Tribolium castaneum: one gene and its partners. The main gene of each other region encodes a partner of the protein of the gene in region 2 in a complex. Links are inferred from orthologs where the notes say so. Each region holds a gene or a part of one and is shown on either strand. Other genes may lie near its edges.

Region 1 (4,509 bases), on a different chromosome or scaffold from region 2:
TGTGAACAATATTATTTCTCTAAGTGATAAAATTTCATTTATCCTTGACGATGGAATAAATAAAATTTTAAATAAAAATATAGTTTGGATTCTTTTAATTTCATTATGAAAATGAACAGAGTTAGAGTGATTAGAAGTAAAGAAATGATTGTACAACTTAAAAAAACAGAATAAAATCATAAAATTTTCTGTTGAATTGAATGCGGAAGACGTTTTTGAATTTGGTATTGCCTTTATTATAAAAAAATAAAATTTTTCGAAAAACTATAATTGATAATTTTCTTTATTTACATCCTCATATGTTCCTTCTGAATAAAGTTAGAAACCTTTTTGGAGAAGATCCCTAAATGAATATAAGTTCAGACGTATATAGGGTGAGTCTTAACTTACACGCATAAATTTAGGGAATGATAGCCTTTCTAGTAATAGTTATTTACAATTTACCTGTAGTAGGTAAAATTTTACAGCGTGAAGTTTTAATATTGAAGCTCGAAACGAAGTTGAGGGCTTTAATACAAAAATTGAACCCTGTAAAATACCTAACGCACAAATAACTTGCAAAACTGGTTGGCCAAATATCGCTAAAAATAGATAAATAATTACCACTCAGCATTTAGATTATTTTACCACGCAATGTCAACATTTTACTTAGCAAATGACTAAATAGTAGTCATTTATACGGACTAGAAAATTAAAAAATTCTAGAATGAAACCATAAAATTTTCTGTCCAATTATTCTACAGAGTAAACTTAATATAACACATAAAATTTATATCTTAGTTATGGCTTATTTTTTTCAATACACAAATCAATTTTATTTTTAGAAACGCTAGTCTTTGACATCCAGTTATTGAGAAAAGACATGTTAAAATAACATTTTAAATAGCCACCAACTTTTTTGTTTACTATTTTAGTACTACACTCCTTCATATTTCTGATAAATATAGGGTGCTCAAAAACTGGCGCACCAACTCAGTGGTACATTATTGAGAAGCAAGTGCAGATTACGGGAAAAATGTTTAAAAAATTCCTAAAGTCATATTTTGAAAAATCTGGAGCTACAAACTTATTGTGTTAACTTCTTTAGTTTTCATTATTTTTTTTATGTATTTATGTTTCATACCAAGTAATCGTTCCGTAACAAAACGATGAATAATTATTTTCAAATTTACTATCAGATTTTAGCAGTTTTTTTAATTTAAAAAAATTAAAATTCATCCAAAAAATCGCAATGTGTAAATGTGCCAACACTGGCAATTATTTCCTAGGAAACCGTTTCAAAAATAATTTATTTTTATTCTTGCTCAACTTCTGTTGCGATCATGACTGTTAGACAACGTTGCCACATATCATTTATCCAAAATCCGTTATTTATCAATAACTTTAATACAAAGAATTTTTTACTATTTTTACCTTTATATGTAACCAGTTCTCTACCACACACCAATGAGTTGGTGCGCCAGTTTTTGAGCACGCTGTATAATAAAATTCAAACAAATGGAGCAAAAAATCAAAAAACAAAAAGAATAAAAAAATGAAAGAGGTAAAAAAGTTATGAATAATTTTACACAAGGGCTTTATTTTTCTGTTTTGGCTTTATTTTATAAGAACGATTGTTTGTTTTTCCTTATTTTTTTGTTTTTAGGTTGTTTTCATATTAGTTAAAAAACAAAAATAAAAAACATGCACCCCTGATAAAACAAAGCAATAACAATTCGTGTATACATATAGTCGATTTTTTTTATAATCAACTGTCAAAGAGCCGTCAGGTTAGTATTACCATAAATAGTAATTTTTACTAAGATGGTACTAATTTTTACCTGGCAAATTTAATTTAATGGTCTTTAAGTTACAACACGCACAACACATTTTTTTAAAAGGCTAACAAATTCTAAAGACTAACGAATTCAAATTTCATTGGCTGCAAAAATTGTCCCGAATGTCAAATCTGGTGTGTAAAATGTCAAATACAGAATACAGCTAGTTTCGAAAGTGATTAGACATGAGATTTTGGTGTGATACAGTCTGGTCTTTATCAAAATTTTGACACTGACAGTTAATTATAAAAAAGAATGAACTGTAGTTATCAAATTATTTTTAACAGCTAATGTACCTGTACAAAATTTAAAAATATTCTTGTTACAAATAGTTTTATTTTTGAATAAATAAACTAGTTCAGAATATTTTAAAAATGAACATTTGCTTCCATTTATTTAACTTGGTAATTTTTAACTACTATTGGAACCTGCACACAGGCGGCCAATTGGCATGGCTCAGCCCTGCTAACATCAACTGATGAATTATGTTGCACAAACAATTGGAAAAACAGCTTTAAGCTTATTATTTACATTTTTATCAATAACAATTGAAAATTTTTTACTCTTAACTTTCGAATTATGTTAACCCCCTGAATCAAATTCCCAACGCACGGGCGTTAATTTTAAGACACCCTCTATGTACTTCAAATTACTATATTAGATATTCAAGTAAATCCTCCAAAATTTTGATATGAAGACCTATTTGGCTGAACCTCATTGCAAAAAAAACAACTTACAAATTCTACGGTCGAAACCTGATGAAGCTACATATTGACCCTCAGGGTGGAATTCCACTGTGAAAATCTCACCCTCGTGGCCCTCCAGTAACATAATGGGGGCAAATAGATTGGAAGTTCTCGCAGGGGCCTGAAATACATGATTTGAGGAGGGTTTTTGAGGTTAAGTGTTACTAACCGCTTGTAAGACCGATTTGTTTTTGTTCGATGTGGCCACTTCATTTTTCGATTTTTTGCTTACGGGGACTAGAGATGATGAATCTTCGGCTCGACGTTTCTCAACAACCATTTTTGGTGTTTTAAACAAAAATTGGGAGGAAAACAATAACCTCACTTTTTAGCGTCAACAAAACGAAGCGATAAGCGCCCTCTGGTGGAGAGCACGAAGTACGATTTGATTGTATACCCTGTTTCAATTATATAAAACAAATAGTTATCTCCTTTGGAATAAATGTTTGACAACAATGAAATGGTTTCCCAATGTCGATATCTAAAAATTATTTGGTTTTTTACTTGCCAAAATTTCGAAAACGATTAATATTAGCTCACTTAACTCACTTTGCGTAATTCTTATTACTTTTTTGCTCTAAAATTGTCAGTATTTTCCCGGTACTAACAGATTTTTGTTAGTAATTTGCAACACTGAAACACAATTAAGTTTCTCTTGGCAAATATTTGAGGTACAACCCCATAAGACTGTTGCATTATTGCGCCATCATTTTTAGTGTGTCGTACTAATTTTTTGGGATTAGAAACTCCTGTAATTTTATATCTTGTTTCATCTCCTAAGTTTAGGAGGAACCCCCGGAGTTTAGGCTCATTTTCAAACTACAAACATCTTTTTTGCGTAATTTTACTAAAATAGATTGATAAGAATGATATCTTCCAAATTATAGTCGTTATTATAGTCTGCTTTGTTTGATTCAGTAAAGTTTCGACTTAAAAACTACATATTTTCTTAAATTCTGTCAGAAGAAACTTAAAAATCAGCAAACTTGATCAAAATTAGATACTAGATACTAATGTTTTTTGTGTAATTTTGGCAAAACAATCCAAAAGGTTGTTAAATCGTGTTAAAAATAATGTTATTTGTCTATTTTCAGATGTTTATTTAATATTTTAGCACTTTTTTTCGTGAAAAAACACCGTGAAAATCCTTAAATTAACTAAAAATTGACTTGACTTTGGTTTATTTTGCTCAATTTTTGAACTCATTTAAACTCTAAAATAAATCAGTTTGTAAAAAAACTCTTAAAATGACACTAAAAATCATTAATCGAAAATCCCAAATTTGTTGGAAAATTATGTTATCTGTGCCTTTTTTAAACGTAGAATTTTGTTAACAGACCGACATTGATTAATGATTTCTTCCTCTTAGACGATATTACAGAAAAAACTTAAAACACTGATTGCATGCCAAAAAAATTGCCTAAACATTTGCAAATATTTACGTACGTTTCTTCCAGAATATGTATATCCTGTTTTTATAACTCATTTTAATTAATTTTTACTTAAAATATTTACTTCCGTGCCTACGGAGAGTGTGATGCAACTAATCTAATAAAAATATTTAAAATAAGTGCTCAAACATTAAACTTTGCGACACGCAAAGTGGATAAATATTTGCGGCATTCCATCAAAGTTTGCGTAATTTCCATATTCTGTAAAATGCATGTGTTAGATGGAAAGAAATAGCAAAATAAACATTTATTAAAGTGGATTAGCAGATTATTTCAACAATAATAAATAGACTAAAACCTACGTCATAAAAAATTAATATCTTGCAATAATATCATCAACAACAAATCGTGTTACACATTTCACATTTTTTTAGACTAGTTTTAACTAAAATTAACTCCGTCAAACAATTCTCTGTCTTTGGTTGAATAAAAACACACAGTTTTTCCTAATAGTGCCGTCGGAACGGATCTTTAATATAAGCCCCACGTTTGGTT
Region 2 (4,545 bases):
AATTAAAATTTTCACCCAAATTTGTCTCATTTTAGCAAAAGCACAAACACGCAATTTAATTAACACCCACATTTCGTCAAAAAAAATGCCAAAAGTGTGGGTTTGACTAAGCGCCAAATTCAAATCTGGTAACTTTAAGGAATCAAACACAAGTCACAAATAAAAATATTTATTCAATACAATTTATGTACAAAGTAACTTATCTCCTACTCTTATGCTTCCTCTCGGGGCTCCTACGCCGCCTCCGATCGTCTCGATCGCGTGACCGTCTCTCATTATGTCTGTGTTTCCTCGCATCTGTTTTTCGTTTTTTATCATCGTCTGATGCTTCTTTTGTCGGTTTTTTCCTCTTCTTTTCTTCCTTCTTCTTACGTGGTTTCTCATCTTCGGAACTTGACGAATCCGAATCACTACTATCGGAACTGGATGAGCTTGAACTGCTAGTGCTACTGCTGCTAGAATCACTTGATTTTTCAGTAATCGTCAAGGGATTGACTTTAGGGGCTGTTTTCAAATGTTCCCTCAACTCGGCCGTAAGCCCCCCTAAGCCAATCGACGTGAAAAAATTAATCGCAAATCTTGTATTTTTGGGATCATCGCGCGGAAACAGCCCCTCAAAATGTGGCTGAAGCGTTCTGAAAAAAATCCAAAAAATTAACAAAACCTCGTTAATTATCAAACACAGTCACTTACGCATCTTTAAGCCTGGCATTTAACTTCTCCAAGCCCATATATTCGGCCAATTCCTGGAACAAAATCTTGATGAAAATCCGATTGGAACTATTGGTATCCTCTTCGTTCAGTTTCATAATTTCTAAAACCTCCCATCCAATCGCATCGGTGAACAACAAATGTGCGAAAAACTTGCTAACATTTCGCAATTTATTTGTGTCAAGTCTGTGTGTTGTGGCGTACGTGTCTTTGAAGATTTGTTGGAATGGCTCGACATAAATCTGATTCACTTGACAAAATCTCTGTGCCAATAATCCGTAAAACTTCTCGTAAGTCCGTTGTTCGGCACAACAGTCGAGGAACATGTGGCATAATTCGATTTCTTGGCCCGGTTTCAGTTCCATTTTCATTAGTTTGTGGGCACTTTCCTCAAAATCTAAACTTGATTGGATGGTTAAGTAGATTGTTCTGCGTAGGGCCACGAGGTTGGTCTCCGTATTGTCGATTATGTTGGATTCGTTCTTTTGGGCGCCTTCTTCTTCCTCTTCGTCCTCGTCTTCGTCGTCTTCCTCGTCACCGGACTCTTCCTCCGAGCCGGAGCCCGACTCGCTGTCCATGTCCAGGATTTCCTTGCTCAAAGTCTTGTACTTCCCCTCGTTTTCCTCGTAGTTGTCGTCGAATTTAAACACATCTAGACAGGATAATCACAGAGTGAACGAGGCAAATTAAGGAATTAATTAATTAAAATTTCAAAATAATTTTTTCTGAGAAATAAAAAAATAATAATAAAAAATCTCAAAACCTGGATACCCCGATTTTTTTGTATAAAAAATTAAGTACAGTTCCACCTAATTAAAAAGTTTCCTTACTTAAAATATCCTCAGCATTTGATTGCTTAACATCATCCAGCGTAATCAAATGTGTAAACTGGTGCTCCTCATCCACCAAATCCAACTCTTCAATAACAGCGGCATGATCCTTAAACCCGTCCTTCCTGATTTGGAACATAACTTCAATCATGTACTGAATCCTCGGTTCCAACTTCCCCTCATGTAAAATATTCCTCAACATTTCAAAGATGGCATTAATGCCTTTACTCGAAACCTCAGTCAATTTCTGTCCACATTCCTTCAGAAACGAAATCGCAACTTCAACCGAATCATCAGTTGGCGTCTCCACCAAAAGAGTCAAAATCTCCAAGGCGAGAATTTCATGCGCAACCCTCTGATTAACCAAATGAGCCACAAAAGTCGTGGCCGAAATGCAGATAATTTTATTATTCTGCTTGAAACCGCGCTTGAATTGCAAAACCAAACGTTTCAGTAACAATTCTCCAATATTAGGGAATTTCGAATTGATGACAGCGACCAGGGCTGCGTACACGTTTGTGAAAGTTGGGGACGCAGCTTGCGCTTGTATTATGGACTTGCAGAGCAGTCCGCGCCCCCTTACCACATTCTCATGGAGCAATTCCCGCGAAATAATCCCAATGTTGGACGTATTCACCTTGTTAATAAACCCATGAATGGATTTTTTTAACGCCTCCCACGCAATTCTTTGATACGCCGCCGAGCTCTTATCAGTAATCTCCGCTTGCATCATCCGCAGCTTCGCTGGAGGGATGTAAGCCCCACCTGTCCGTGTCAGTAAATCCACGGTTTTGCGCTCACGGGGGGCTATCACCGACTTATCCGTCTCCTTCTCAGACTCTTTGTCTTTATCGTCGGGCTCGCCCCCGTAATACCTACTACCCACCTGATGGTCATCCTTGCGGGGGTATTTGGTCCAATATCTATCGCTGTTTTTCTTGTGTTCTTGATCCTCGCCGTAATACCGAGGGTATTCTTCAAGGGGGCGGTCCAAGTCGTGGTATTTGCGACTTTTGCGACGGTCTCGTGAACGCGAACGGCGGGAACGCTTCCGGGAGTCTTTATGGGGCGAGTCGTCACGACGTTTTTTACGGGATTCAGGGGATTTGGAGCGGCTTTTACGCTTGGGTTTGGGCTGTGGGGAGGTTTCGGTGTCGGTGGTCATTTTTTAAGCACTCACAAAAACACAGTAAGAAATTGGGGCGATTATTGACAACACACAACAACGCAAGAGGTTGAGGTTATGTGGCACTGGTGATAATGACAAATTCCCTACTATTTTTGAATTTTAAAGTCGCCAGATTTTTTTGTGCATTTAGAATAAATTATAATTAATTATATGTACGTGTTTACGCAATTATAACATAACTAGAGGGCCAGGAATTGGTGGTTTTATTAATTCCAGACATATTTGAAAATTTACAGACTTACTAAATTAGTGACAAATCTAAAATTTCAAAAAAATTTGAATGTGATTTTGGGGGTCACGTTTGCCTAAAAAATATATCACGACCTGGGAATTTTGGGATTTTAATGATCTTTAAATGTTAAATAAAAGAAAACTAGATGATGTAACGTTTAGCTATTGATAGAAAACAAAAAGTACCTACATGGAAGTAATTTTGGCAAAATTTGTTACTTTGGAACCTTAAATATTGATTTAAAAGTTCAAAACAATAAAATTTTAAGTAGAGCATGTCTGAAAAGTTTGCTATTTTTTTCTTGTATTGTGTATTGTTTGTTTGTAGATTAACATATAATACGTGTTATATTTTATGATAACATTTCAGGCAATTGAGAAGACAAGATATGATATTGTAAAATTGTGAAATAGTCAGAACCTTATGGTTCTCAGGTCGCGATATTTTCAGAATATTTACTTCGACAGCGACTTTTAATGTGTTCCCATAAAATGAATAACTTGACACAGACTTTCGCTTTTTCTTGAAGAGAAATGGCTGTTGGTGCAAAAACAAGCAAAAACCGATAATAGTGGCTAATAACAGCTCTAGCGTACAATTAAATTTTTATGGCACAATAACAAGTTCGATCAAAGATTTCTCAACAATACTTCCGCGGTGAAAAGAGCGTTTTTACGGCATACTGAAAGTGTTACAAGGTATTTTATTCAGTTTGTGGATTTTAAAAAATCGGCGCGGAGAACGATAAGGTCACGCATTTTAATTTTGCGGAATTTCGCGGAGGCCTCCCATGAATATGTGAAATGTTTGCGTGTACCATATTTTATTAAACAGTTTGAACAATAAACAGTGCGAATGCAGCGTTTTCGAGGCATCAAGGTCACTGCCAAGTGAACTTAAACCCAGCTCCAGCTGTTTCAAAGATCGACCAACGAAACCAATCCGTACAAAAGAGCCCGAGGCTGCTTTATGGAGAGTACCCATGCTATAGCAATTCAGTTGGTTCTCAACCTTTCGGTGCCGATACCGTGCGCGTTCTCCTCTCCCATTTTTCCAAAATTTTGCCCAATTTTTGGTACTTTTTCTAAGTAAAAAAGCGTGCCGGGTTGGTGTAGGTGCTAAAGGTGCTGGGCCCAAGGTTGCGACTTTTGTTAATCATCTTGCTTGGAATAATTACAAGTGGAACTTGCAGTCATGGTAAATAATTATTTCGCACAAATCGCTCTTTTTTTAGAAATTAATTGACCACTCGCTTGAGTAGTTAGGGGAAAGAATTTTAATTATAGTTTTGGGTGCAGTTCCGATAAAAAGGTCACAAAAGGGTTATCGTAAAATGCGCAACAAGACCGAAAATAAGGCCTCCAAAAGTCGTCTCGTTGCTCTAATCGCAATAATGAGTAAACCTTTTAGTGGTCAACTTATCGACCCAAATAAGTCATTAAAAAACCACTTATCGTTACTCATTTTAACATGTTTCTGCAATAATTACTAATTAGTTTTCGTCGAAAAATTGTATTGTATTTTTTTGGGTCGTGGAATTATGTAAACGTGATGTCATTTGTTTAACATTTAAAAGAAACATT
Region 3 (2,442 bases), on a different chromosome or scaffold from region 2:
AGACGGGTCAATATGACGTTGGAAAGTCTCTTAGTGTCATCTTCGGAGTTTGATTGCCGATTTTATCCCAATATTACCCGTCACCTTTCACAAGATTCTATTTAAAAAATTATTCCATTTAATTTGGGGATTGTAGTTATAATGTCCATTGTTTCGGGCACAATTAACTAATTAAAGCGAAATCTTATAGGGCAATACATTTCAGCGTGTTCCTTTGACCTAGTCAAGGGTGGTTGCTTTAAGACTGTTCCTCAAAAAACTCATTTTCCAAGGAAATGACATTAAAATCGAGTGGGTGTTAATTTCGATCCGGATGTTTTCCCGGAAAAACTGTCAATGGGGGCAATACCTGACGCTGATTGTGATGTGGCTCTGGAAAACTCGTCACTACACGAAAATTTTCACTGGAACGTCGCCGCCGAGACGCTTTAATGCCAAACTAGCGAACGTTTCCAATATTTTCCCGACGGTGGAACAGTGGCGGCGCGCATGCGACATTCTCTAAGCTTTTCATACACTGTTACGGACAAACCGCTCGAGGAAAACAATACGAATTGAATTTCTTTGTGAATGAACGCACAAAAGCGACGACGATAATGCTTTCCCTCCTATTACCCTAATTCACTTATTTCCACCCTACCCCAAGCCCAATAAAAGAAAACTCGGTCAGAATCGAACGCTTTTATTACAAATAATTATCGATTAAGCCAAAATTACAAACTAAATCCTATCTAGAGCCTCCAACATGACGATACTGTTTCCCCGGATCACCTGTAATAAACATAACCTCAAATTTCAAATCCACACTAATTCAAAAGAAACGTACCACCATCCCTATATTGTTTTTCTTGCCATCCCGGCACTCTTCCACACTCTCGTCCACCACTAGATTCATAAAAGGGTCGAAACCGCGCAAAATACCAACGACTTGTCGGCCCCCATTCAACTTCAAACACAATTTTTTGTCCATAAATCTGCAAAAAAACTAGTAATACGTTCTACGACAAAACAAGACTCACTTTTTCAATTCCGGAGGATGTGCTTTCGACATTTTGTGTACTTTTTTGAGTTTTTAAAATTTAAAACGCTCTTCAAACGCTTGACACAAACTGACAGATTTGACAGTTGCTAAGTACAGGGCATGATCAGTTGTCCCAATTTTTTCACATTTTTAACGTATAGTTAATGCAAAAAATTAAACAAAACAAGTCATTGGTTTTGGTGATAACTGTAATCAGAAATCGGTAAGTGTTGCGTTGAAATAAGGCAATTGTTGTTTTGGTGATCGTGTCCTGATTGGTGTGGGCAACGTTTGGCGTCGAAAATCCCTCTGTGCTAGTGACATTTCGGTGCATCTTCGGTTTGACGTTACTTTTTTATCAACAAATTTGTTGGAATAACCGCTGGAAAAAGGTTCAGTAAAGGTAAAAGCAGTACCAGTACCGCCAGATGTTAACATTTGCTCCTCCGTTCCCTCTAGTAGTGCTCCTTCTAGCCACTACTCTTTACGCCTTTTCTAGTCTAGTATCGCCCCCATGGAAGAGGCCGAAGTGACACCGCCCCCGCCGCCGTCGCTGAAAAGCCCGTCGGCGTCGAACGAGGGAGACTGGACGTGTCCGGACTGCGGTAACGTAAATTTCGCCCGCCGTAACAACTGTAACCGTTGTTACAAAAGTCGGGGGCCGGTGTCGGCGAAAAAGCGCAAATTGGGGCACGAGATCGGTAAAGCGGCGGCAGAGAAAAGTCGCGGGTTGTTTAGTGCCGACGATTGGCAGTGTAACAAATGCGGTAACGTGAATTGGGCGCGGAGGCAGCAGTGTAACGTTTGTAACGCCCCCAAGTTTGGGGAGGTGGAGGAGAGGACGGGGTTCGGTGGGGGGTATAACGACAGGGGGGTGGTCGAGTATAAGGAGCACGAGTCTGACGACGAATATGACGAGTTCGGGAGGAGGAAAAAGAAGAAAAGTGAGGAGGTGAAGGAGATGAAAAATAGTGTAGATAAGGTGGAGAAGAAGGTTGAGGAGGAAGAAGAGGAGGAGCAGGAGGAGGACGAGGAGGAGGATGACGACGACGGAGACTTATCGAAATATGATCTGTCGGATTGGGGGGATTCAGGGGAATCGAATAGTAAACAAAATAACTCAAGATCTAAGTCGAGGTCACGGTCTCCACAACACGAAAAAAAAAAGTCATTAGTCGAGTCGAAATTTTTATAGACATTTAGGTGAATAAATCTGCTTTGTATGGTGGTAAATTCGAGTTAGGTATACACAATAAACCATTACTTTTATTGGTGCCTGATTTACATTCTTCTTCACCTGAAAATCGAATAGATTCTAGCACCAAGTGACTAACGAAATTTGTTAGTTTTTGTAGTTGTTACGCTGTAAAATATTTATCGTCCACGAGTAACCCATATTAATTGTAAAATTAACAGTGACA
Region 4 (3,523 bases), about 6.5 Mb from region 2:
GTTGAGCAAAATTCGTTAAAAAATTCCTAATCTCATATTTTAGAAAGTCTAGAACTACAAACGTATTTTGTTAATGTCTTCAGTTTTCATTATTTTTTAATGTTTTTATGTTTCTCACTAAGTAATCGTTTCTTAATAAAATAATGATTAATTATTTTTAAATTTACTATCAGACTTTAGCAGTTTTCTGAATTTAAAAAAAATTAAATAAATCAAAAAATCACAATTTGTAGATGTGTCAACATTGGGCATTATTTCCTAGGAAACCGTTTCAAAAATAATTAATTTTTATTGTTGAACAAATTCTATTGCGATCACGACTATTAGACAACGTTGCCACATATCATTTATTTAAAATTCGGTATTTATCAATAACTGTAATACAAAGAATTTTTTACTATTTTTACCTTTATATTTAAGCATTTCTCTACCGCACATCATTGAATTGGTGCGCCGGTTTTTGAGCACCCGGTACATTTTTTAGGGGTATTAGGATTTTAAAACGATGAGATAAGAACTAGTCTGTGAGGTATTAAATTGGCAAAATTGTACCAAAATAATCAATAAACAGGCACACGAGAGAAGAAAGAGCCCGAACTAACCGAAAAGGAAAAAAAGAAGCTCGACATCCAAGAAACGAAGAAAAACCTCCCAGTCTACCCGTTTCGCGACGACTTGATCCAGGCCGTCCGCGAGCACCAGGTCCTAATAATCGAGGGTGAAACCGGCTCTGGAAAAACAACCCAAATCCCGCAGTACTTGCACGAAGCCGGCTTCACCAACGACAATAAAAAAATCGGCTGTACGCAGCCACGCCGTGTCGCCGCCATGTCGGTAGCGGCCCGCGTAGCCCAAGAAATGGAAGTCAAACTCGGCAACGAAGTCGGTTATGCGATCAGATTCGAAGATTGCACATCCGAACGTACAATCATCAAATACATGACCGACGGCACGCTCCACCGCGAATTTTTATCCGAGCCCGACCTGCAGTCCTACAGCGTCATGATCATCGACGAGGCCCACGAGCGGACGCTACACACGGACATTTTGTTCGGTCTGGTCAAAGACATCGCCCGGTTTCGCCCCGACTTGAAACTGCTGATTTCGAGCGCAACGCTCGACGCGCAAAAATTCTCCGAGTTTTTCGACGATGCGCCCATTTTCCGCATTCCAGGCCGGAGGTTTCCGGTGGATATTTACTACACTAAGGCGCCAGAGGCCGATTATGTGGACGCGTGCGTTGTTTCCGTTCTACAAATTCACGCGACTCAACCGTTAGGGGATATTCTTGTTTTTTTGACCGGTCAGGATGAGATTGAGACGTGTCAGGAGTTGTTGCAGGATCGGGTTCGCCGGTTGGGCTCCAAAGTCAAGGAACTGATTATTCTGCCCGTTTATGCGAACCTGCCAAGCGACATGCAAGCGAAAATTTTTGAACCGACGCCTCCAGGGGCCCGGAAAGTTGTGCTTGCGACAAATATAGCGGAGACTTCTTTAACGATAGACAATATAATCTATGTTATTGATCCCGGTTTTGCCAAACAAAACCACTTCAATTCGCGGACTGGGATGGAGAGCCTGATTGTGGTGCCAATTTCGAAAGCCTCGGCTAATCAGAGGGCTGGGAGGGCTGGCAGAGTGGCGGCCGGGAAGTGTTTTCGTTTGTACACCGCCTGGTCCTACAAGCATGAACTGGAGGACAATACCGTGCCGGAAATACAAAGGATTAATTTAGGCAACGCTGTACTGATGCTGAAAGCGTTGGGGATTAACGATTTGGTGCATTTCGATTTTCTTGATCCGCCACCACATGAGACACTTGTTCTGGCACTGGAACAGTTGTATGCTTTAGGGGCGTTGAACCATCACGGGGAGTTGACGAAGTTGGGGCGCAGGATGGCGGAGTTTCCGGTTGATCCGATGATGGCCAAAATGTTGTTAGCTTCGGAAAAGTAAGTTTGGCTTTTTGTGTGGGTTTGTTACTGTTTGCTTTTTGCAGATACAAATGTTCAGAGGAGATTGTGACTATTGCGGCCATGCTTTCGGTCAATGGGGCGATTTTTTACAGGCCCAAGGATAAAATTATTCATGCTGACACGGCACGCAAAAATTTTAATCACATAGGGGGTGACCATCTGAGCTTGTTAAATGTGTACAACCAGTGGAGGGATTCCGATTATTCCACCCAATGGTGCTACGAGAATTTTATACAATACAGGTGATTTCTCTTATTTTTTCTGAAATCTGCCATAAAAGAAAAATAAAATAAAGAAAAAAGAATGAAAATGTTTCAAACTAACCGGTTCATCTTCAGTACTTTAAAAAAATTAGAAATATAAATTAGAAAAATATAAATTTCAAGTTATCTAGTTGTTGAAGATACGTAAATAATTGTGCTTTATTTTGTTGTAGATCTATGAAAAGGGCTCGCGATGTGAGGGAACAGTTGGTCGGTTTAATGCAAAGGGTTGAAATCGACATGGTGTCAAATATAACCGAGGCTGCAGACATTAAAAAGGCTATAACCGCCGGTTATTTCTACCACATTGCTCGGTTATCCAAAGGAGGGACTTACAAAACCGTTAAACATAATCAGGTTTTAACACCAAAAAAATTATAGTTTTCTTTGTACTGAGAGAAATTGTTTCAGAGTGTCACAATACATCCCAATAGTGCCCTTTTTGAGGACTTGCCAAGATGGGTTCTTTATCACGAGCTGGTTTTTACCACCAAAGAGTTTATGAGACAAGTTATAGAAATCGAGAGTAAGTGGCTTTTGGAGGTTGCACCTCATTATTACAAGCAGAAGGAACTGGAGGATTCTACCAACAAAAAAATGCCAAAGACTGTCGGGCGTAGCACCAGAACTGAATAAAGATTTTTTAGAACCGAAAGCTTTTTATTATAATAATGTAAAAAATTGAAGAAGTAAAGCAGTTTGGTATTGTTGGAAAAAATTCTTATTTCTTCTCATGCAAACAATAGAACAGTAAATAAATTGCTTGTAAATGCAAAAGACACTATAGAAAAATAAAAATGTATTAGTGATAATACAATATACAAATATAAGTGTAAATACTTTACTTTTGTAAATAAAATTACGAAATCGAAATAATTTGTTTTTATAAAAAAAGACAATGAAAATAATAAACTAATCATAATGAGATGAAAATACTGAAAGGCGATAATAAAATAGCTTTTCTCGTCTAATTATTTTTTGGTTTTACCAATTAAAAAAGGGCATAAAAATATATAGCCCTTGTGACTAGTATTTATTCATAAATAAATTTATAAAATCTCCAAACCTTCACTGTTTTTCATGGCCTTTCATGTGCGTCCTCAGGGCGCTGCTCTGCACATAGGCCTTTTCGCAGAGCTCGCACTTGTACGGCTGCTCCCCCGTGTGTATCCTCTCGTGCACTTTGAGCGTGGACTTTTCCCCAAACGCTTTCCCACAGTGGTTACACAAAAACGGCTTTCTTCCCGTGTGTCTCCACTTGTGCGAATTCAAATTGCCTTTTGC
Region 5 (4,244 bases), on a different chromosome or scaffold from region 2:
TGAATATTTTATTCGGGCAAAGTCACATCGTACACAATGCGCAAATAGGGATCGCTATTGAGCCGCTGGCGAATATTCGGGAAATCGAATCGGCGAATAATCCCAGTAATAATGTCACGTTTGCTCAGAAAATGTTGGAGAATTTTATGAATTTTGTGCTGAGTTATACGGTGACGCAACCGCAAATGGTCCCAGATCCCACGGCCACGTACGTTCCGTTGGCTACAGTACAGAACTGGTACACGAATTTTGAACGACGGTTGCAACAAAACCCCAATTTTTGGAAAACGTAGAGGAATGTGTGCATACGTGTGTCTTGTGTTCATCAAAGCTGGATTATGGCGGCTGTTAAGTCTCAAAACTCACTCGCTTTTAATGTATTTAAATGAATAAAGTATCGATTTTTTTATTATCTTATCATTTGCCCACAAAAAATTAATTGTTGCAGTGCAAAATCGTTGACCAGATAGCGCTTGGATAAGTGACAAAAGGGGAATAAAACAAAATTTAAACCTTAATTCTATTTTCTCAAAATCACGGTTCCGGTTCTTCCGTTTGCTTCTGCTTCTTCCAGCTTTTGGCAGCTGCCAATAACTTCAAATTGGGTTTACTGGCCTCATCCTCAGGGAATATATAATCAAAGATCTCCTCCCATCCTTGCTCAACACCATCCTCATCAATAACCTTCCTTCTCTTCTTAATCCTCCTTGGCATTTTCCCTTCAACTTTCTCCTTCGTCTCCTCGCTCCCATTTGCACTTTCAAACTCCTTCCAATTCTCCAATAACAAAACCCTCGCCTCCTTCTCCCCATAACTCTTCAAACTCTCATTAGCCCGCTCATAAACACGCCTTGCCAAACTAATATTCATATCCGACTCACAACTCAACTCAAACTTCGCATACGACAACCAAACTTTCACATGACTTGTCCTCTCCAACAATCTTTCGTACAATTGTCGGGCATTAGCCCACTCTTCTTGCCCGATCTCAAAATCGATATAGGCCTTCCAGAGCAGCTCAGGCATGTCTAGCCTTGGCTGAGCGATTGCCAACTCATAAATGGCCCTAGCACGCTCAAAATCCCCCAAAAGTGTCTCCAACTCGGCAAATTTCATCCAAGTCACACAATTTTCCGGACCAAACTCTAGATATTTCCCGTACAAAATACGACACCGGTCAAACTCACGCAACTGTATCTCTATATCAATATACCCACGGAACAATTTATCACGTGGGCATTTACCAATGGCAGTCCCCAAAATTTTACGAGCACCAATCAGATTCTTCCGCCTGATTTCAAACTGTGCAAACAACAACCAAATTTTACTAAACGTGAATAACTTATGGGGGATCAAGTCAAGGCAAGCTTTATAAACCTGACGTGTTCTTTCATAATCAACCGCTTCGATTTCCTCAAACAGGGCGTAATTAATCCACAAGTAAATATAACGCCTCCAGTATTGTTTATTTTTCGTTGGTGGCACGTTGGCTATGGCCCGCTCATACGTCTCACGTGACGTCTCAAGGTCCCCTTCCCCCTCCACCAGTCTCAAATAGTCAAACCAAGCGTCGTAATTGGTCGGATTTTCGAGTATCTCTTGTTCGTATTGAAACTTACGTTTCGAAACAATCACATCTTCAATACCGGAACGATCGCCGTACTTTTTCTCATGTATGGTGTAGGCTTTGTACAGCTCTTTCGCTTGTTCTTTGGGGAGATGGTCCAAGGCATACTTGTAGATAACGCGAGCACGGTCATGTTCTTTTTGGTTTTCTTCAAACCGTGCAAATGCAATATACAATTTTTCGTCCAAATGGTCATCACCGTAAAAATGTACAGCTCGTTCGTAAATCAAGCGGGCCGAGTTGATAAAACCGTGATTTTCTTCAAATCGGGCGTATTTAATCCAGTGTTTGACTTCGGGATGTGTTATAACAAAGCGTTCGTAGATTTCTCGCGCACGGTCGATTTCTTTGTATCTTAACTCAAAATTGATGTACGTTTGCCAGGCTTGTTCCTCCGGCTGCCACTCCATCCAGCGTTCAAAGACAGCTCTGGCCCCAGCCACATTCTCCAACATCTCCTCCATGTAGGTGTATTTGTACCAAAACTGGTTGATTCTGGGCAAAATCGTGACGGCTCTGTCCCATAAATTTCTAGCATGGTTCACTTGACGGTTTCGCATCTCCATTTCAGTGTATTTTAACCAAATGGTAACGTTACGATGGTCCACATCCAAGGCACGTTCAAATATCGAACGAGCTCGTTGGATTTCCTTTTGCGATTCTTCCCAATGGGCATATTTAATCCAATTGGAGATAACAGTTCGATTTTTTCGTATGTTGTCTTCGAATTGTTTACGGCGTCTGAGTTGGTAGTCGGCAAGTTCAGCTGGATCGGAGATTTTTTGCTTAGGGGGCGGAGGGAGAATCTCAAGGTCGCGCTCTTTTGCCTCGCGAAGGAGCTGCTCGGCTGTGATTTGGATCTCAGCAGGGGCTTTATTTTTCACCTGGAAAATTATTTTAGTTAGTTATTAAGTTGAAAGAGAAGGTAAATAACGTACCTTGGCCACTTTGGGCATCTTTTGCGGCTTGGTTTCCATCTCAGGGGCGACTTTTACCAACTTGTAGCACAACAAACAAACACGAACATAACCTTACGATTTTTTGTGGTTATGTTTGGACCACACAAATTGTGAAATATCGTGCCTTAAATTTTGATCGAGTGTTTGTTTGTTGTAATATAGATTAAACAATAATTTACGTAAGTAATTAAACTCCGCAAGCCAGTTTTTGTATTATTGGATTTGTAGATTTGCACTGGTGACGCCACATGTCGCGCACAATTACAGTTTTCTGTTTTTTTTTTAAATAAAATTCGAGAAAAATTACAAAATTTTATTGCATTTAATTTTGCCACAACTTTAAGACTTTGTCTTTACCCCCCGAGGCCACTTTGGAGCCATCTGAGGCCCAATCAAGCGCATAGACCTCATCCCCATGACCTGGCAGATCAATTTCCAATTTCTTCTCCCTCAAATTCCACAATTTGAGTGTTGAATCGGCACTTCCACTCACTAAAAGTCTAGAATCGGCCGAAAACGAAATCACATAAACAGCCTGTACGTGCCCCCTTAACGTACAAATAAATTTACCACTTTTGGCCTCCCATAATTTAATACTCTTATCAAACGAAGCCGAGGCAAAAATGCGACCATCTGGTGAAAATTTCACATCGTTAACTAATTGTTGGTGCCCCGTGAGCCGATTTAACGGCTTCTTGTCTTTTGAGGGGGCCCACAAAAACAAAGTGAAATCATCGGAGCCCGAGACGAGTCTTTCATCACCGATAGGGTTAACGATTTCGTTGTAACGACGCAGGACGAAGTCTTGTGATTGGATTTGGGTGTCTTTGACTGGGTCAAACGCCCCCAATTTGAGGATATAATCAGTGTTGAGGGCCAAAGTGTTGACCCAATGACCGTGCCCTTCTAACGTACGACACAACACACCGTCTTTAGCCCTCCAAACTTTAACAGTCCGGTCCTGCGAAGCCGTATAAAGGAGCCCCAGACCGCCCCACTTGACCACAGTCACACTTTTCAAATGCCCAGAAATAACCCTAGTACAAGAACACAGGACCGTATCCCAAATCCTGACGTCACAATCTTTACTCGCCGAGGCTAGAAAGCGACACTCGGCGTTTTGGTGGTAGGGTTCCCAACTCAGGGCCGTGACCCATGATTTATGCCCAATTAGAGTTTTACCAATCTGGGCCCCATTTTCGGGGTTCCATACCACCACCTTGCCGTCTTTACACGCCGAAGCTAGTTTACGCCCATTGGGGGCCCACGCAATGCACAACACCCAGTTCGTGTGCCCTTTACATGTCTTAAAAGGTGTCTGGGTGTCCACGTCCCAGAACCGAACGGTTGTATCGCCAGAACCACTCGCTAGGTGTCTACCATCGGGGGAAAAACTCACGGAAATGACAGCTTCGGCATGGCCTGGCATTGAACTTGTACATCTTGTCACGGGACGCACTCGGAACACGGCTTGTTGCTGGTAGAGGATGTCGATGACGGTTTCGGTGTTCAAGTCCGACAAGTTTAAGGTTTTTTCGAGCGAATGTGTGATTTCGGTGTCGTTGGCGTAAAAAATGTACGAATTTGTGGTTTCGAGGAGAGCATTGCAAATTTCAGTCAACTGGGACACAGTACAAGACAAGGGCAAGTCGATGATG
Region 6 (4,420 bases), on a different chromosome or scaffold from region 2:
AATTACCAATCATTAAACGTAAATTTCATTTTTTTCTTCTTCTTCTGTTGCGGTTCTGTCAAGTCACTCTCATCAAGGGTTGAACTACAATAAAACAGATAATAAGTGTTACCAATACGTAATTAAGGCACCTTTTCACGTTATCAGGATTGATATATTTCCCAACACCACTTTTATACACTTTTAGGGTTTTTTGAGCTTCCGCTTTACGTCTCTTCGCCTCTTCTTCCTCCTTCTGTCTTTTCAATTCCTCTTCGCGTTCTTTCGCCAACTAAAAATTGACCAAAAATAACACATTACAACAGAATAAGACAATCACTTGTTCGTCCGCCTCTTCAAATGGATTCACAAAAACTTGCGCCCTTATAAGCACAATATCCTCAATGGGCTTATCCTTATTGTCCACTTCAATTTTTTCCATTTCGTTTAAAGTCTCCATGCCACCAACTAAACGACCAAAAATCGTGTGCTTATTATTCAAGTGCTTGCACGACCTGTATGTTATGAAACTAAAAAAAAAAACAATTAAATTTTTGATTATTGCTCAGTGGCTGAGTTTGAAATTAAGTTGGCAAAACTGGACGTTGGCATTTCCCGTTATATCATGAAAAATACTTCAGTTTGTGTATTCATTAAATCATTAAAAGTTTGGAAAAAGTATGGGGAAAATTTACTCATTTTTTTTGTAAAAAATAAAGTTATGGCTACGGATATAAACAAGTTAGGATATGAAACGACATACAAATAAAACGTTCCTGTATTCGATAGTTCCGTTAATGTCGCCAGAGAGCGCAGATGTTCCATTACCGTCTAAATTTTCAGTGCAATGAATTTGAAAAAATGGTTGTGTTTGCATAACGGTTAACACATGACAAACAAAAAAATACAGGCAGATAGAGCATTAAATTCGCAATAGTAGGACATAAACGTAATGCAAAAATTTTATCTTAAACTATATTAAAATAAAAACTTTTACCAACTTGCACTCTGACTCATATTTTTGACAACTCTGCAAATACGGTTACAGATGCAAGAAAAATGTTAGAAAGATAATTGTAGACAATTAAATTTCCTACAAAAAAGTCCGCGGGACTATATCCCTATCTTCAACCATTTAGGCCCCAAAATCGCCCAAAGACGCTCAAGCGACGAATTTGCTTCATTTTGCCAGTGGTCAAGTATTGAAAAGTTAGTTTATAACCAAACCGTTTAAAATAGAAATATGGTGTCGTGGACTTTTTTGTAAAAAATTTAATTCTCTACAATTTTGTTCCTTACACTTTTTTTGTATCTTCAACCGTATTTGCAGCGTCTTGAAAAATACGAGACAAAGCGCAGATTTAAAAAAAAATCACAAACATTTTAGTCGTCAGTTTTTCTCAGACTTAAGGGTGCAAAGCTCAACATTGGTTGAATTTAAATTAATTTAAAACGATTTGGCGCCGAGACAGTATAACGCTCAAAGCGCCCTCATTTTTAGTCCACCGTACTATTTTTTAGGTTCAGAAAATCCTGCGATTTCATCTCCTAACTTATAGTCCTCCCTAGTTATGACATAAATGAGTTTTTTTGTCACTTTGACATTTCAAACGACAATTGACTATTAAAGTTAACATTTGACTGTTGCCATTGTTGCCAACTTAACTTCAAAGTCAAAGGCTGCGTAAAACATACAACTGTGACCCATTTGTGTTTTTCCCACTGTTGGCCATAGACAAGACCCCTCGCCCCACATGTTGCAAATTGGGCCTGAATTCATCAACGAATTTCTTCCCCCAAATGGATTCGCCCCCAGTCCCTGTCCCCGTCGGGTCGCCCCCTTGAACCTACATTTCGTTAGTTTTAGCCCCCATGATGGGTCCCTACCATAAAATTCCGAATAGATCTGTGAAATTTCGTCCCGTTGTAATAGCCACTCGCACAATGCCTGATAAAATTCTCCGAAGCACGTGGCACTTCGTCGCAGTAAATCTCCAAGTTGAGGGGCCCCAAGTTCGTGATTAACCTCACATAGCCTTTTTTCTTGACTCTGTCGTATCGCACCTCATCTTCGTGCTTCACTGCGGCTTCGTGCACCAATCGGGGGACCATCGCTGTTGAGGTGAAACTCGCAGCCACAGCCCCCGTTGAATAATGGGCAGCGTTGAACTTGTCCGCCTTTTCCTTAACTTCGACTTTGTTTATTTCAATTGTTGGCTCTTTGTAGTCCCGTTTTAGCTCCTCAAGGGTGTATTTTGTTTCAGGGTTCACGTTTTTCAAGTGGCCTTGAGGGTCGTTCTTCTCCTTGATTTCCTCCTCGGTTTCGATTCGTAAATTGTTTTTGACGTGGTGGAAGTTGGAAATGTTGAACTTATTTAAGTCTAGTGGGTCCTGTAACATGATGATATCCTTGCGTTCGAAGGGCGTATCACTGATTAAGTCCTTCCAGTTTTTGTTCTTAATATTAAGCTGTTCCACTGCTTCCATCAAGTACACGTTTCCAGTGGTGGCAATCGCCACAATGTGGGAGCTTTTGGTGAATTGTTTGTAAAGGACGGGGCACTCAAACTCGCCTTCTTCATTTTTGTGGAAATTCAACTGCACCAACGACTTGAAATCCAGAGGCTTTCCCGTGACTGGGTTTATCTTGAACTTCTTCAAAAAGGGGAGCAAAGGCTCCAAATCAAAAATATTGCCGTCCAAGTCACAGTAGGGTATTTCCCACGGTTGCAACGACAGGCAGCAGTGGTCAAACGGGAGCCGCTTAAAATAGTCCTCCTCCGCGGTCGTATAACCCGATTTTTTGCCCCCGTAAAGAGTGGTCCACTCTGTGTACGTCAAGTACCTTAAACAAAATTGCGTTAATTACGCACTTGAAACTGATTTTGGACAGGTCTACATTTTGTCTTTCTGGTGCTGGCGCTTCCCCATTTTGCTGTAACTTGTAAAGAGGTAAAATTAAAAAATATAAATCACACGACTTTGAGGTTAGCTCGCTGTCACAACAACAGGTAGACAACACGCGCACTCTTCATGCCCCTAGATGGGTGCAAAGGATTTTGAATTTTTTAAAAAATAATCCGCAATTTTTTGGTAATTTTCGGCGAGGTGTTGGCGACCGACGCCCTGGGGGTGTGGCACAGGGCGGTTTTGTTGCAAATAATCGAAATTCAGGTTTTTGGGCTGTGCAGTTTTTGCATATTTCCGGTAGTATGGTGGCAGGCCTGAGTGCTCAGCGAGTACGCCATGAGCCGATATTAGCAAAAAGGGAGTGAATTGTTTTCAGTTTTTAGTGCAAAAATTAATACAAGTAAGTGTAATTGCTGCTGAAATTTCCCGTTCAATGCCAGTTTCACGTTCCTGAAACTCGATTAGGGCCGTTTATGCGCGTATTAGCCGAGTAGGCGCTGAAAAAAATCGTCAACTTGTGCCGTAAATATCGCCCAATAAAAGCGATATCGTATCGAAATTACAGTAATTTCGGGTTCGGCGTTGTGTTTTAATCGATAATTATTGAATTCCGTCCCGTTTTTCCCAATTTAATGGAAATTTACGGCTTGTGTAATGCTTGAAATCAAAATGGCCGACTTAGCTGACAGGAATCAATTTTGGTTTTGAGAAGGGTCGCAATAATCGGTTACCTGTCCCGGCGATCGCAATCAGACATTGAACCCCATTGTTGCTTGAGGTGACTCTCTCGCACGGTCGCCCGTCAGCCCCCGGCGAGCGCCGGGAGGAACAAAGAGGTGATTTTTTGTTTTGTTTAGCTCGATGTCTTCAGCTGGGTCTAGCGGATCAGGCCGTGGTCGAGGCGGTCAAGCAGCAGTCGGTGATCAAAAGGAAACAAAAGAATCAAAGCCTAACCAGAAAATGTCAAAGGCCTTGGGCACATCAGCGAAAAGAATCCAAAAAGAACTAGCAGAAATCACGTTAGACCCGCCGCCGAACTGCAGTGCGGGCCCCAAAGGGGAGAACTTCTACGAGTGGGTGTCCACGATCCTGGGCCCCCCGGGGTCCGTCTACGAGGGCGGCGTCTTCTTCCTGGACATCCACTTCTCGCCAGAGTACCCCTTCAAGCCACCTAAAGTCACGTTCAGGACGAGGATCTACCACTGCAATATCAACAGTCAGGGCGTCATCTGTTTGGATATTTTGAAAGACAACTGGTCGCCCGCCCTCACCATCTCCAAGGTCCTCTTATCTATCTGCTCCCTACTCACCGACTGCAACCCAGGTGGGTCAATTTCTCTTAATCGTAATCGCAACAAGTAAAACAATGAATCGCATTTATTTTTAAAATTCTTGTTGGATTAAAAACGTGCCAAATAGTTCGTAGACCCGCAGCGAGCAGACAAATATTAGACCGGCGTAGTCACCGGCATGTTTTGAATATTTTTAAAGGCACGCGATGAATGTAAATTATGCTAATTTCCTGTGAAAG
Region 7 (4,210 bases), on a different chromosome or scaffold from region 2:
CAAGACCGGATTCGTCAGCGGCGTTTTGTTGGTTGTCTTGGTCTTCCTCCTCTTCCTCATCCTCCTCCTCTGATTCGGACTCGAGCTCGCCCCAGAGGGTGCGATCCACGGAAGGGTCCTCACCAATGTCCTAAACATTGATATTTGAACAAAATTCAATAAAACAATATTATAAAATACTTACATCTATGTTGGTAACATTTGTTCCAAACACATCACCGTACAATGGTTTTCCATTTTCGTCCACCGGTGGTTTTCCCCACCCACCGGCATGGTACCCAAAGGCACAACCATCAGGGATGGGGGCATTTAATCCCGGAATTTTCAAGTTGGGGTAGCTGGGTGGGGGACCATAACGTTGCATTGCAATCAACCATGGTGGGGGTACTTTATTAGCGTTAGGGCCCACAGGCATTCCTAAGGCCGTTCTTAATTCTTCTGATAAATCTCCAGGCTTTTTTTCCTTCAATCTGGTTTCAAACTCTTTGCCCTCGTAATAAAGGTCCCCATGGATGGTCATTTTGGGTTTAGTTTGCCACCTAACAATAACAATGAGATTATAAAAAAAATTCTAAATAAACAGCTGTCTATCTTTTTCAATTATTCCCAATCTCTACGAATACACAATTACAAACAATAGCAATTTTAGCTTTTATCAAAAATAAAAAAAACGTACTTGAAAAATGCGTCGTGTAATTTTTGATAATCAATATCGATTTTTCCAAGTTTGGGTCTGGTCTTTTCCCGCATTTTAGCTTTGAGTGTTTTGGATTCATCCTTATCTTGCAATGACGCACGCATTTCCATGATTCCAGTCCTTTTAATGAAATCTGGAAGATTAAAAGGTGGTTTCTCTATACCACGTTTACCTTGCAAGTACTTTCGTTTGAAACACCAATGACGTGGTACCTGAAAAACACATTATTCAGCCAATTGCTAACTCCGCATATATTTTCATCTGCTTTATTATTATGAAAAATCTGTTAAGTTTGTTCCAAAACATCACTTTTTAATAAAAAATTCAAATCCTTGCTTCTTATGCGTTCAGTAAAATGTTTAGTTTGGAACAAAGTTCGTCTAAAGAAAATAATAATTAATAATGCTACAGAATTCTATATGTGCGCAAAATTAAGAGTTTTCAAATTGGAAGTAGTGACGAAAATTATTTTTCCAAAGCTTACGACTTAATTCTATTCTTAATAATAATTTAATAAAAGGTATTCTCTTTTTTTATTAATTGTTAGTAGTTCCTGAATTTTGTTAACATTTTCGTGTTATAATAAAATTGTTACAAAGCATAATTTTTTGTGTCCCATCCGTAACTAATTATTTATAACAACTTTTAGAAGTGGCAAAATGAATTTAAATTGTTAATCCATCTTTTTTTTTTAATAAGCCATTTTTAAAATAATAGTTATGTGCCGTCCGTAATCATGGAATGGCTGCATTACTTTTAATTTTTGAGAAAATTATAATCGTTACCTGAACGGTATTTCTGTGAGCTTTCAATTGGACCAACAATTTTGGGTCCCTGGCTGTTACATCGTGCATTTCTACAACGTCTGGTCTACTGACTAGTTGTTTAAGCTCGGCGACGCTAAGTCGCGTCAATTTTTTAAGCTTTCTTTTGGACATTTTTGACTTATCGTCAAGCTTTTTCTGAAAAAAAAATAGATACATATTTTTTATTCATAATGTAATACAACACTTACGTCGTCCCCATCTTCCATTTCTTCCTGAAAGTGATCTCCTATGCTATTTAACATTGATTTACTTGACAATGATGTTGGCGTTGCCAGAACTGGGGGTGGGATATCATGCTTTTGATCAGTTATTTTAAACACGTCAAAAATGCTATAAAACTGCCGGTATTGTGGAGCCAGTTCAAGAAGACTAATCGTCTCTTGGACGTACCTTTAATTAAACTCATAACAATTTTGTCAAACAAATAGAAAAAACACCTACTCAACTTCCACATCTGTATTCCCATCCTCTTGCCCATCCTTTTTCTCCTCCTCTTCAGCCGCTTTATTCTGTTCATTCTCCCTGTTTTTCTTGTTCTTCTTCCTTTTCTTCTTCTTTTTATTCTTACTGATTTTGGTGGTCTCTTTCACCTGACTCTCTTCTTCATTTTCAACCACGGGTTCCTAAAAAAACAATCGTTATAACTATATTCATACAAAAAATTAAAAAAGCTACAATATTGTCATCTTTCTCCCAAAGCGCCTCTCTAGGAGTCTGCGGCTGTTGAACTACTGTTTCCGTTTCTTCTCGTTCTAGTTCACGCGCTCTCTGATTTTTTAACGCCAACACCTCTTCCAACACTTGAGGTAAAACAACTTCAGTTGGTGGCGTCTCCATCATCTGATCAGGAGGATCCACTTTTAGGGATAGCAATGAGGGGAGTTGTTTTTCACCACCAACACCTGAAATAGTCCAATGCGATATAAACAAACTGGTTGAAAACAATCAATTACCATGTTCACCAGCCCACCCTTGCATACCTGACCCAAACATCCCTTCCTGGTGGGGCACAGGGTGCTCCGGGACACCCTCTTGTAGCTGATCCGGATTCATTTGTCAGTAGAATCAGTGCTTGTTGCAGCCGTAAGCTGAAAGGAGACGGGATTATGGAATTGTTCTAACACTAAAAAGCACTTTTCTCAATTTGATATAACCTCTTTCTCATACTAATTTCTTAAAAAATGTTTGAATCAAAGCAAGAAGCGAACTTACTATAACAGATAGTCTGTTAAATTTTATCTACAATGAGGAAAAACCGCAAACTTTTAATATTATTAATAATTTATTGCGGCATTCAGCAACGTTTCGGTCGACATTTTTGTTTGGAATTAGAGCGAATGCGACCGTAATCGCGACAGCTCGATTTCCTGCAAAAGCGAAAACATTTCCCAAAATTTTCATACAGAATAAATCAAATGTAGTAGTTATTTATCCAGTTAGTTACAACTTTCTCTATTAACATCTTGTAAATACAATAATTTATAAATATTTAATCAATTTATTTTTCAAACAAGATGCCAATCTAATTTGGACCAATCACGCATCTCAATCTCAAATGTCAGATTCAAAAAAACGGTTTTGTTGTCGGTTTGTCATTTGTGTGCCTTGTTTACTGTAAAGTTACTATAAAAAGCGAATAATTGGATTTAACACAACGTTAAAGGTAAAAACCGAGTTTTTTTGATACGAAAATTACATAAAAATTGTTTTATAGCTTGCATTAAAATGTCAGTGAGGTCCAGCAGACGTTTAAATAAAAAACTAAATCCACCTGAAATGGAAAGCACCAGTGGCCCCTTAAGCAGTGCCAAAGCAACAAGAAGTGGACGAAAAGTCAGAAAAACGAACGATTTGCTTTTCTTCAGTTTTAATGCTTCTGCAGTGGAAAAAGAAGACGAAAATATTAAGCCAACGTCGTCAAAGCATAATAAACAGAATTTGCCTCGTTTGGAGTTCGATGAGAGCGGGAAAAGTGACAAAGGAAGCCCTTTTTTGTTCAAGGAAGTTCAAAAAATCTCGCCGCCACCTGTACCAAAAAATAAAAGAAAAATCGTCAAAGCTAAGAGAGTTCTTAGGAGTACCAAGCAATGTGAACTGGAAGACAAGTGCAATGATGAGACATTAGATCTCACTACAAAAAGTTTGAAGGAGAAATCTTCCGAAAATTCTGTAAATCTTGTGAGTGATGGTGAGGGAAGTTCACGTTTCATCACAGTCACGGAGAAAATGGCTCAAGATGGACACGTGAAAAAAGAAAATAAACATGGCAAGACACCAAAGGTCAAAAGACAGAGTGGGAAAGGAGAGTTTTCTTCGTTTAGAGACATTGAAGATTTTAAATCTCTTGAAGAACCGTCAGAAAATTGCAAGAGCGTAAATTTGAGCCCTTTAAATGAAGATGAGGGAAGTTCAAGCTACATTGAAGTCAACGAGAAGAGTACACAAGATGGACGTATTACAGAGAAAAATAGTCCTAGCAATGGTACTTTCCCCAATTTTGTTGCTTCAAGCAAGACACCAAAGACCAAAAAACAGAATTTGTCTTCTTTGGAAGCGGACGAAAGTGGGAAAGGAAAGTTTTCTTCGTTTAGGGAAATTGAAGATTCAAAATCTTTTGAAAATTGCAAGTCTGTAAACTTGAGTCCTGTGAATGAAGATGAGGGAAGTTCAAGCTACATTGAAGTGC

The links.
Region 1: ncm (region 2) and U5 small nuclear ribonucleoprotein 40 kDa protein share a complex: the UniProt entries of both Homo sapiens proteins name them as parts of the minor spliceosome. The link is inferred for Tribolium castaneum from reciprocal best matches to the Homo sapiens genes CWC22 and SNRNP40.
Region 3: ncm (region 2) and SNRPG share a complex: the UniProt entries of both Homo sapiens proteins name them as parts of the minor spliceosome. The link is inferred for Tribolium castaneum from reciprocal best matches to the Homo sapiens genes CWC22 and SNRPG.
Region 4: ncm (region 2) and l(2)37Cb share a complex: the UniProt entries of both Homo sapiens proteins name them as parts of the minor spliceosome. The link is inferred for Tribolium castaneum from reciprocal best matches to the Homo sapiens genes CWC22 and DHX16.
Region 5: ncm (region 2) and crn share a complex: the UniProt entries of both Homo sapiens proteins name them as parts of the minor spliceosome. The link is inferred for Tribolium castaneum from reciprocal best matches to the Homo sapiens genes CWC22 and CRNKL1.
Region 6: ncm (region 2) and RING-type E3 ubiquitin-protein ligase PPIL2 share a complex: the UniProt entries of both Homo sapiens proteins name them as parts of the minor spliceosome. The link is inferred for Tribolium castaneum from reciprocal best matches to the Homo sapiens genes CWC22 and PPIL2.
Region 7: ncm (region 2) and Sf3b2 share a complex: the UniProt entries of both Homo sapiens proteins name them as parts of the minor spliceosome. The link is inferred for Tribolium castaneum from reciprocal best matches to the Homo sapiens genes CWC22 and SF3B2.

The regions. Positions count from the first base shown.
Region 1 is NC_087399.1:11,299,333-11,303,841, forward strand, and holds the start of U5 small nuclear ribonucleoprotein 40 kDa protein, read right to left. Parts: upstream 2,942-4,509; 5' UTR 2,844-2,941; coding exon 2,733-2,843; intron 2,685-2,732; coding exon 2,555-2,684; intron 1-2,554. Other genes in the region: uncharacterized protein LOC656468, read right to left, coding at 4,461-4,509. UniProt on the Homo sapiens protein: Required for pre-mRNA splicing as component of the activated spliceosome. Component of the U5 small nuclear ribonucleoprotein (snRNP) complex and the U4/U6-U5 tri-snRNP complex, building blocks of the spliceosome.
Region 2 is NC_087398.1:673,902-678,446, forward strand, and holds ncm (pre-mRNA-splicing factor CWC22 homolog), read right to left. Parts: upstream 2,836-4,545; 5' UTR 2,707-2,835; coding exon 1,542-2,706; intron 1,364-1,541; coding exon 694-1,363; intron 636-693; coding exon 200-635; 3' UTR 154-199; downstream 1-153. UniProt on the Homo sapiens protein: Required for pre-mRNA splicing as component of the spliceosome. As a component of the minor spliceosome, involved in the splicing of U12-type introns in pre-mRNAs. Promotes exon-junction complex (EJC) assembly.
Region 3 is NC_087395.1:18,416,530-18,418,971, reverse strand, and holds SNRPG (probable small nuclear ribonucleoprotein G), read right to left. Parts: upstream 1,180-2,442; 5' UTR 1,052-1,179; coding exon 1,020-1,051; intron 975-1,019; coding exon 827-974; intron 772-826; coding exon 721-771; 3' UTR 667-720; downstream 1-666. Other genes in the region: zinc finger Ran-binding domain-containing protein 2, read left to right, coding at 1,536-2,216. UniProt on the Homo sapiens protein: Plays a role in pre-mRNA splicing as a core component of the spliceosomal U1, U2, U4 and U5 small nuclear ribonucleoproteins (snRNPs), the building blocks of the spliceosome.
Region 4 is NC_087398.1:7,194,393-7,197,915, forward strand, and holds the end of l(2)37Cb (pre-mRNA-splicing factor ATP-dependent RNA helicase DHX16), read left to right. Parts: intron 1-571; coding exon 572-1,952; intron 1,953-1,999; coding exon 2,000-2,218; intron 2,219-2,412; coding exon 2,413-2,596; intron 2,597-2,650; coding exon 2,651-2,875; 3' UTR 2,876-2,894; downstream 2,895-3,523. Other genes in the region: zinc finger protein OZF, read right to left, coding at 3,308-3,523. UniProt on the Homo sapiens protein: Required for pre-mRNA splicing as a component of the spliceosome. Contributes to pre-mRNA splicing after spliceosome formation and prior to the first transesterification reaction.
Region 5 is NC_087400.1:96,386-100,629, forward strand, and holds crn (protein crooked neck), read right to left. Parts: upstream 2,703-4,244; 5' UTR 2,605-2,702; coding exon 2,566-2,604; intron 2,512-2,565; coding exon 535-2,511; 3' UTR 507-534; downstream 1-506. Other genes in the region: protein OPI10 homolog, read left to right, coding at 1-293; Nle (notchless), read right to left, coding at 2,909-4,244. UniProt on the Homo sapiens protein: Involved in pre-mRNA splicing process. As a component of the minor spliceosome, involved in the splicing of U12-type introns in pre-mRNAs.
Region 6 is NC_087395.1:15,994,785-15,999,204, reverse strand, and holds the start of RING-type E3 ubiquitin-protein ligase PPIL2, read right to left. Parts: upstream 3,026-4,420; 5' UTR 2,911-3,025; coding exon 2,879-2,910; intron 2,825-2,878; coding exon 1,867-2,824; intron 1,827-1,866; coding exon 1,675-1,826; intron 510-1,674; coding exon 320-509; intron 272-319; coding exon 132-271; intron 85-131; coding exon 3-84; 3' UTR 1-2. Other genes in the region: Ubc2 (ubiquitin-conjugating enzyme E2-24 kDa), read left to right, coding at 3,751-4,213. UniProt on the Homo sapiens protein: Has a ubiquitin-protein ligase activity acting as an E3 ubiquitin protein ligase or as an ubiquitin-ubiquitin ligase promoting elongation of ubiquitin chains on substrates.
Region 7 is NC_087396.1:14,198,231-14,202,440, forward strand, and holds the start of Sf3b2 (splicing factor 3B subunit 2), read right to left. Parts: upstream 2,884-4,210; 5' UTR 2,737-2,883; intron 2,613-2,736; 5' UTR 2,578-2,612; coding exon 2,478-2,577; intron 2,427-2,477; coding exon 2,200-2,426; intron 2,148-2,199; coding exon 1,966-2,147; intron 1,915-1,965; coding exon 1,713-1,914; intron 1,660-1,712; coding exon 1,483-1,659; intron 910-1,482; coding exon 677-909; intron 540-676; coding exon 185-539; intron 131-184; coding exon 1-130. Other genes in the region: uncharacterized protein LOC103313715, read left to right, coding at 3,250-4,210. UniProt on the Homo sapiens protein: Component of the 17S U2 SnRNP complex of the spliceosome, a large ribonucleoprotein complex that removes introns from transcribed pre-mRNAs.